2 linked regions of the Cricetulus griseus genome follow. The protein of the gene in region 1 purifies or fractionates together with the protein of each later gene. This does not show direct contact. Links are inferred from orthologs where the notes say so. Each region holds a gene or a part of one and is shown in the gene's direction. Other genes may lie near its edges.

Region 1 (4,978 bases):
TCTGGCCTTTTAAGAGAGTTCTAGGGATCTGAACTTAGGTCCTCATGTGTGTATGCAGCAAGCACTTGACCAACTGAGCCCTCCAAAATGTGTTTTGAAGTGTGTAAAATAGATAAAATAACTTTCCGTGTCTATTTAGAAGATCATTGTGGGATTCTGGAGGCAATTGTGATGTTCCATCTTGTCAGCTTTCCAGGATTTAGAGTCTCTTTGGAAACAAACCTCTGGGTGTGTCTGTAAAGGTGTTTTCAGGGAGCTTTACATGAGGAGGGAAGCCCTGTGAGCAGTGCTTTATCATGGACTGGGATATTGGAATAAAAAGGTTAAGCCTCTAAGCGTTCACCCCTACTGAAGATGCAGTGTGACCAGATGCTTCACACCCCTGTGGTCTGCACCATTGGAGACTGGACCCTCAAACCATGATTCAGAATAAAGGCTTCCTACCTTGAGTTGCTGTTGCCAAGCATTTCGTTAAAGCAATGAGAAAAGTAACTAACACAGCTTGGTTGTGAAATCCACAGCCTTACCAGCTTGTGAACCAGTGAGCTTCTAGCCATCCTCTGAAATGGGAGGCCAAGCCTGATCCTGCTTTGCGAGCCCTGAAGTATCTTTCCAAGCCAAAGGTTGAGTCAAAAAATCTCCCCCACACTCTCCTCTCCTCTGCAAAATATTAACATTCCCTTCTCAGTCACTGCTTCCATTCCCTCACAATGAGCCCTTTTTATCCAGGCAACTTGCGCTCCCTTTAAAAGTGAAACATATGTATCCAATAAAGTGAATGTGTGTATGTTCAATATCTCTAGTGCCGTTTCTCCTGTTAAAAAACTCTTAAGAAATGCATGCAGAAAAACTGGGCTACTCAAAGGACTGGTTGGTTTAGAATTCTTTGAGTTCCACATCTGGTCTGGTTATGTGTTACTACAACGTCTATCTTCAATCCTAGGTTGCAGGTGTAATAACCTAAAATTTGAAGCCAACATAACCCCAGTCCGATTTATCTACAGAGTTTTACAGGCGTTATTACAGGGCCCCACCCCCACCCACTTTGTCTAATGGCTGAACCAGAATCACTGTGGATACGCGTTGGGAATTTGTTTTCTTGAGTTAAAAGCTCTTCTCACTGATTCTCCAGCAGACCAACACTTGAGAAGCTGCTCCTAGTTCTTAGCCCTCTACTTGGCAAGGATGCGGGGCGGGGGAGGCTGGCAGCACTGGTGTCTTCTTGGACCTATTGGAGTGGGGATTCTTCCAACTTCCAGACTCTCTGAGTCTTCATGGGCAGATCTGTATTACCAAACAATTAGTATATTCTGTATCATTAGATGCTTATTTACAATTTGCAAACCTGGGTCCCACTGCTCGAGTCTCCTGTGCTTATTTTGGGGATGCGGTCGGGGCAAGGGCTCTCACAAGCTCCTCAAATTCTTACTTTAGGTAGGTATGGTCAAGGTGAAAGAAGGTGTCGCACAAATTGCAGCCCTTGGGGGTTAAAGAATCACCTGAGTTAAACTTGGGACTTGTGGCTGTCCTGGGATCCTAAGACAGTTCCGATATACTGCCTTTTAAGGGACAATGAGTTCAGAAGACAACCTCCTGTCACAGAGCTTTAGGTTATCAGCCCCATTTGCCAGCCTCCAGCACCTGGCCCTGCAGTGGGCCAAATTAGTTTCGTGCCCAGGACCCCGCCCCACCCTGCTCTCTCCGCCCAACCCCGCCCGTTAGTCCCGCCCCCGTGACGTGCCGCAGCAATCGCGAACATGCGCACTGGCTCCCGCGCGCCGCTCCTCGGCGCTGTCATTCTCCGCGGCTCGGCGGCCAGTGCGGACTGCGGTTCCTGCCCGGCGCGCGGGCGCTGTGACTGCTCCTCGGGGGCGGACCGGCAGCTCTGCAGCGCGTCGGCGCCTCTCTTGCGGGGACTCCGTGGCGTCGCATTTCGTCGGAGCGGGAGACACGCACCTGGAGCTCCGAGCGCAGCTCTCAGGGTCTCGCGGCCGCTACGGCGCTTGCTCCGGTCCTCGGCGCAGTCCGGGTAGCCGAGGCCACCCGGTGCGCCCGGGAGAGTGCGCCGCCCCGGGCGCGGTAGAGCTCAGGCGACAAGGACCGGGAGAATCCTGCACCCGCTGCCACCCGCCACAGAGGGCCAGCCCGGATGCATACGACGGAGTTGCAGCGCTTCTTAGCTCGTTGAAGCCCCAGAAGACCCCTGCCTCCTGAGAGCCAGTAAGTTGACTGTAGTTTCTGAAGTTGCAGGCAGTGTGGGAAGGACAGGTTCGTTTGATTCCTGTCGTGCCAGGCCGAGGTGGCACCTCCTGGCTGCAGCTGGAGGAGGGAGTACTGGGCTGCAAAGGAGGGGGGCATGTCACTCGAGGACTTAAGGCTGGAGTCCAGGGCTGGCTCCTGCCTCTGCTGATTGCGCCAGTTGGAAACGTGCTAGGAGAGACAGGTGCTCTGAGGGCATTTGGCCCGCCGCTAATTGCACATTTTGAGCTCCTTGATTCTGCGCGGCGTGGGGTCAGGGGCGTCCGCCACCTCCATCCTAGGAAGCTCTGCTGACATCCCCTCTGAGGACTGGCACAGAGATGAGAAGCTGAGACATTGCTGCTCAGGCCTGCAGGCTTTCTGTGCATCCCACTTCACTCTCCCCCTAGGCAGAAGTTGGCACCCTCCCATAATTGGAGCCTAATCCTTTAGGGAAAAACAACTTCTATGTCAACTGAGTGTTTTGTGCTCTAAGGCAGAGAAAATGAGAAGAACGATCTGCGCGCTTTTATGCATATGCTTTAAGAATGGAGGCAAGTCTCAAAGAAAGAGGATTCAGATGGTGGCTGAGTTGTCCTGCATCTCTTATGTAAGCCTCCTGGCTGGGTAACTTTGCATCCGCAGGGGCTGCAGCTGTGCCTCCACTCCATTTGTTTCAAGTCCAGCTTGAACCGTATTTAATGAAAATGTTGACATGATATAGCGGCTTGTAGTCAGAAACAGGGCAGTCTTTAAATTGAAGCGTCTTCTCCTAATGGGGAACACCGGAGGAAGAACTCGGTGTATTTTTCAAGACAGTTCAAGGAATTGGATACATAAATCATGCTTTAAAATACCATACATAGTACAGAGACCATGCACAGGACCCCCTTTAGAACACATCCCCTTTTGTTTTAGGGAGAGTGGAGACTGTTCATGCCAGACAATTGTTGAGTCTGAAAGTTAAGTGCACTGATGGGCTTAATTATCTTAATAAACAAAGAGCATGATTTATAGGTAGCTGCAGTGGCCTACTTTGAAGGGTAGAAATCTTTAACCTTTCTTTCTCAGCTGCCCCCTAGAGATTCTTTTAAAGCAGAGCAATGGATTAATGCCATTGATGTTAATACTTGAGCTGATTAAATTGTAAAAGGAATTCTTTGAAATACCATACAGCCCTGCTGTGTGGCTGATAGGCAGTGAAATTATAAAGAAAGATAATATTTAGAGCACTGACCATAGGAGGCTTTACATTAACTAAATATCTCATGTTGCAGCTGCCATGTGATATGTATGCATCTACAGATAGAAAGAAATCTGTACAGAGAAAAATACATGCATTTGGATTTGAAATAAAAACTCAGGGATGTGAGTTAATATAATATTTTAGATGACCTTTAGAAAGAGGAGTGTATATATTAATGTGTTTCAGTGAACAAAACAAGATGAACTAACTAGTGACAGGCACCTGATTTAAACATAGTTTTTTATTTTAAGAATTCTAAGAGGAAAAAAGGTACTGTTTTAAAGTTCAAAAGCCAGTCAACACATTGAGTTTATAAGAGCATTGAATGCTGACCTCTAGAAGAAATTGTAGCCAAGTGTGGGCATTAAACAGGGTGGCCTGTTGTGTCAAGGAGCCAGGCTGCTGTCTCTATTGCTGGCATTGAATCTGGGCAAGTTACCACAGTTCTGAGCCTCAGTGTCTCCATCTGTAAAACTGGTGGGTGTAGCCATAGGACCTCCCTCATTAGGTTGTGGGAGGATTAAGTGGAATCTTGCATGTGAAGGCATTGAGCTGGTGTCAAATATATTAGGCTGGCTTTGGGGGAAAAATGTTCATTGCTTGAGAGGAAATTTGTCTTGGGATAAGCTGTAGACATTAAGCAGCTGTTGCTGGAGGTCCAGAGAAGCAGTTCACAATTGTAATAGGAGAAAGGATGTAAACATAATGGCCACAGGCTAATATCCTAATATCGGACTTACTGTCTCCAGCAGAACCTCCCCAAAGGCCTTTGAGGGAGCTGGCTTTGTCTAGGTGTTAGAGAGGAGGAAACTGAGGCTGAGATCAAATATTATAAATTAGAGCTAGCATTTTAAACATGCCTGTTAGAAACTGTCTTCTTAGACACAGCTGCCTCAACTTGCAAGCAAAGTAGATGGTTTATTATCTTCTTTATCCATGGGACGTTTATGTTTAAAGTTTAAAATATGCAAACTGCTAACCAGAACTCATAGTGCAGTTCTCCATGATGGGAAGCTATTATCATCGTCATTGTTGTTAAATACCAGGCCCTGGTTTCAAGACCCCTTTAGTCCTGGTGTGAGAGAGGTAACTGGCATTTTTGCCTTCAGTTAGAACCGGATTATGTTATTTCTTTCTCCCTCGTCTATATACTCATAGAATCAAGAAAACTTGGTGTAACTTAATGCTTTATATTGGAAGTTGATTCAATCTATTCAGCCTCCTGCGTCCCTGTGTAGTTGCTGTGGGTCACACAGAGTAAGTTACTACAAGCAGCAATAATCAGACTACATTGTCTCCAAGCATAGGCCAGTCCATGGGAGAGCTCCACTCAGGCAGAAATGGGGCCTTGTGCTTAGCCTGGATTCAATGTTCTGAAATGGAAATCATTTCTCCTTTGCAGCGTGTTAGTTTCAAACCCACGGGAAGAAGTGGAGAATCCATATGAGCCATCTTGGTCCCCCCCTGAGTCCCAGGTCTATAGTGATTGAGTGC
Region 2 (3,459 bases), about 120 Mb from region 1:
TCCAGAAGTGGTAAGGTCAGAGAAAAAGCATCCTACAGGGGTTTGAATAAACAAGTGGCTGGAATAGTTGTAGCGAGGAGACCTAGGTTAGGCCCAGCTTCCAAAGAGTAAAACTAAGAATCACCTACCAATCCAAAAGTGCATGTCTTCCACCGAAGGGAACAGGACTCAGTACCTCTGGCCAAGTAACAGGATTCTGACCAGGTGGTCACCTCCATCACCAGAATTAAAGATGGCTGCATTGCATATATGTGGCTTCCCTACTAGTGACAGCCCTGAGTTTCATGCTATAGATGACAGAAGATTGTAAACTGTCAGAAGTTAGGGAGTATTCCAGATGACAGGTTCACAAGGTCCTGTCACAGAGAAAGAAGGGCATGATATGACAGACAAAAAAAAAAAAAAAAAAAAAAAAAAGGCAAGGGCGAGAGTACCTGAAAGTAGCTGGGAGGTCACACTAAGTGTGGTATTTCCTGTGCTGTCAGGAAGGCCAGTGCAGGGCAGGCTGTGCTCAACCTCCCGCCACGTCCAGTCAAGAACATCAGCACTAGGCAGTTCCTGCATAGGGGCAGGAAGGTGTCAGATGATAGATGGCCTGCCCGAGGTCATCCATAAACAAAGGCCCTGCCTCCCTGTCAAAAGTTCCCAAACCTCCGAGCACTATGGGGGTCACCAGGCCAGATGGTGCCCAGCCCTGCTGGCATGAGGGCAAGTCTCAGACACTGTGCACAGGCATGGTGAAAACTATAAAGGCCCTAAATGGATCGTGTATGTTCTGCAAATAGTAGACTGCTTGCTCATATTCCATGGGGTATTTGTGTGTGCGCTTTGTTCATACAGAGGTTTCTTTTTAATTGTGTTTGTGTGGGGATATCTGCATGTAAATGCAGGTATCTGCAAGGGCCAGAGGTGTCAGATCTTCTGGAACTGGAATTACAGGCAGCTGTGAGCCGCCCAGTGTGCATGCTGGGAACTGAGCCCAGATTCTCTGCAAGAGCAGGACACACTCAGAGCCACCAAGCCATGTCCCCCACTCCTACGTTTTTATCTGTTTGACTGAGGTACAATTTACACACAACACATTTTGTCTAAGAGCCACGTCAGTACACACATGCTACACTGGGGTCACAGCCTGCAGCCCATGGGCCAAGCCTGGCCGCCCACCTGGTTTTATCTTAAGTCCTTTCTGTGGCATGAAGAAAACAAAGCTTGCATTCGCCCACCCAGACAAAAATATTTGCTGTTGGCCCCTCACAGGAAAAGCATGGGCATTGGACACACCACTTCTCTCACTTCTCAGCTCCCCCTGACCTTTCACCGGTGTTCCCTACCCCTAGCAGCCACTGATCTGCTTTCTGTCATGCAGTCTTCTGCCTTCCTGTGGTCTAACATAAATGAAATCATCTAGTATGTTGCCTTTTGTGTCTGGCTTCTTTCACTTGCAGTGCTTTGAGATTCACGGTCTGGGCTTTTGCATCTATGAGTTCTTCATTCCTTTGTTCCGTTCTTTCTGCACGGTGTGACAACCGATGAAAGGCATAGTTCCCCTCCCAAGAGGGTGAATGGCATCCCTATGCTTTACCTGTGTGACATGGTAGTCAAGGCCTAGAGCCCAGGCATGCCTGCTCTCACTGCCCCTTGTTTTTGTAGGCATGAACAACCGGGAGGTGCTGGAGCAGGTGGAGAGAGGCTACAGGATGCCCTGCCCACAGGACTGCCCCATCTCCCTGCACGAGCTCATGATCCACTGCTGGAAAAAGGATCCGGAAGAGCGCCCCACTTTCGAGTACTTGCAGGGCTTCCTGGAGGACTACTTTACCGCCACAGAGCCCCAGTACCAGCCCGGTGAAAACCTGTGAGAGCCTGCTCTTCAGAGACCTCTTCTGAGGCCTCCCCACCCCTCCCCATTAGCTTCCAGTTCCGTAGCCAGCTGCCCTGAGCAGCAGAACCGTCCAGGATCAGATTGCATGTGACTCTGAAGCCGGCGAACTTCCACGGCCCTCATTAATGACATTTGCCCCCCAGTCCGAACCTCCTCTGTGAAAGCATCCAGACAGAACCGTGTTATTTCTCAGACTTTGGAAATGCATTGTATCGATGTTATGTCAAAGGCCAACCTCTGTTCAGTGTAAATATCTGCTCCCGTGCCAACAATCCTAGTACTTTCCTTTTTTAAAAAAAAAACAAAATGCAAATCCTATGTGATTTTAACTCTGTCTTCACCTGATTCAACTAAAAAAAAAAAGTATTATTTTCCAAAAGTGGCCTCTTTGTCTAAAACAATAAAATTTTTTTTCATGTTTTAACAAAAACTGATCAGGACAGGTGTTTGTTTTTTTTCTTTTTTATACATATGAATATATACGTAAAATGTTCCTGTATATACACCATGTGGGTGCTACCATGGAGACTGTGGCCAGCAAAGGCCACATAGTTACAGGGCCCAGAGTGAGGATCACTGGGGAAACCTGCATCTAAGCACTGGTGTTATTTTGAAAGCCGGTGGCCTCCGTTTTTTACTTCTACAAAGCATGATTTTCCCCCCTTCATTTGGATTGCACTTTTTCAGTTCCAGTCATACCTGTAGATTGTTGTTCATGTGACTTTTCAGGTCCCTGAGCTGAGTTCACGCATTTTAGTGCCCGTTTCGCTCCAGCGTACTGTGATCTGTTCTTGCGACTTGAGAGTGAGCACACTTAAGCAAGCAGCCATCCAGTCCTACCCTGAGGGCTGCAAGACGGAGACCGCATAGACTTGCTGTATAGATATGAATGCTGACTTGTTTTAAATGTTCTTCTTTTATTTAATAAATCTTGTAACCACATTTAAATGGTCTAAAACCCATATAGCATTGTAGTCACGGCAGCCTACTAAACTTTCTCATGCAGCTAAAAATGACGGGGAAGGCAAGGGTGGGGGGTTGTACATGTCCCATTGTAAAATAAGTGTTCCAATGTCCTGTACTGCTAATGAATGACTCTCCATGTCGAGCGTACTCCAGTCAATAACTATGCACTACTTTACATTTCATGGGGGTGCACAAGAGGGTTGCGTTTTCAGTTGCTGTTTGTACCAACCTTGAATTACATATGTTTAACAACAACAAATCAATTCCTATTTCTATTGAGTTTTTTAATACTGAATAGCAACTCTAAAGTCTTAATTCCTTTTTTGTTAATGATTTATTTGTGAGTTTACATTTTTAATTGTTTAACTTTCTTAATTTAGTAATTAAAAAGAGAGCATTTTACATTTGAAAAAAAATTTGTTCATTTGTGTACATCACAGGAGGTACCATAGGCGTTCTGTGACATATCTGTCCCACACCAGATGGTGAAGAATCACCTGGTGAATTTGGCCATTGGGCAATGATTTCCAAATGACAGAAACATTCAGAACATCTGGAGACCCTCCCCACTAAGAGTCAAAGTGATTGTCTGACTAATTCAGAGGACTGTT

What was found. Proteins that work in one complex are often made in the same cells at the same time.
Region 2: the proteins of Pag1 (region 1) and Fyn purify together in Homo sapiens (co-immunoprecipitation; 3 studies listed by BioGRID and IntAct, with this or other methods). This does not show direct contact. The link is inferred for Cricetulus griseus from reciprocal best matches to the Homo sapiens genes PAG1 and FYN.

Annotation. Positions count from the first base shown.
Region 1 is NC_048595.1:138,036,597-138,041,574, forward strand, and holds the start of Pag1 (phosphoprotein associated with glycosphingolipid-enriched microdomains 1), read left to right. Parts: upstream 1-1,802; 5' UTR 1,803-2,220; intron 2,221-4,978. UniProt on the Homo sapiens protein: Negatively regulates TCR (T-cell antigen receptor)-mediated signaling in T-cells and FCER1 (high affinity immunoglobulin epsilon receptor)-mediated signaling in mast cells.
Region 2 is NC_048595.1:262,065,529-262,068,987, forward strand, and holds the end of Fyn (tyrosine-protein kinase Fyn), read left to right. Parts: intron 1-1,650; coding exon 1,651-1,859; 3' UTR 1,860-2,824; downstream 2,825-3,459. UniProt on the Homo sapiens protein: Non-receptor tyrosine-protein kinase that plays a role in many biological processes including regulation of cell growth and survival, cell adhesion, integrin-mediated signaling, cytoskeletal remodeling, cell motility, immune response and axon guidance.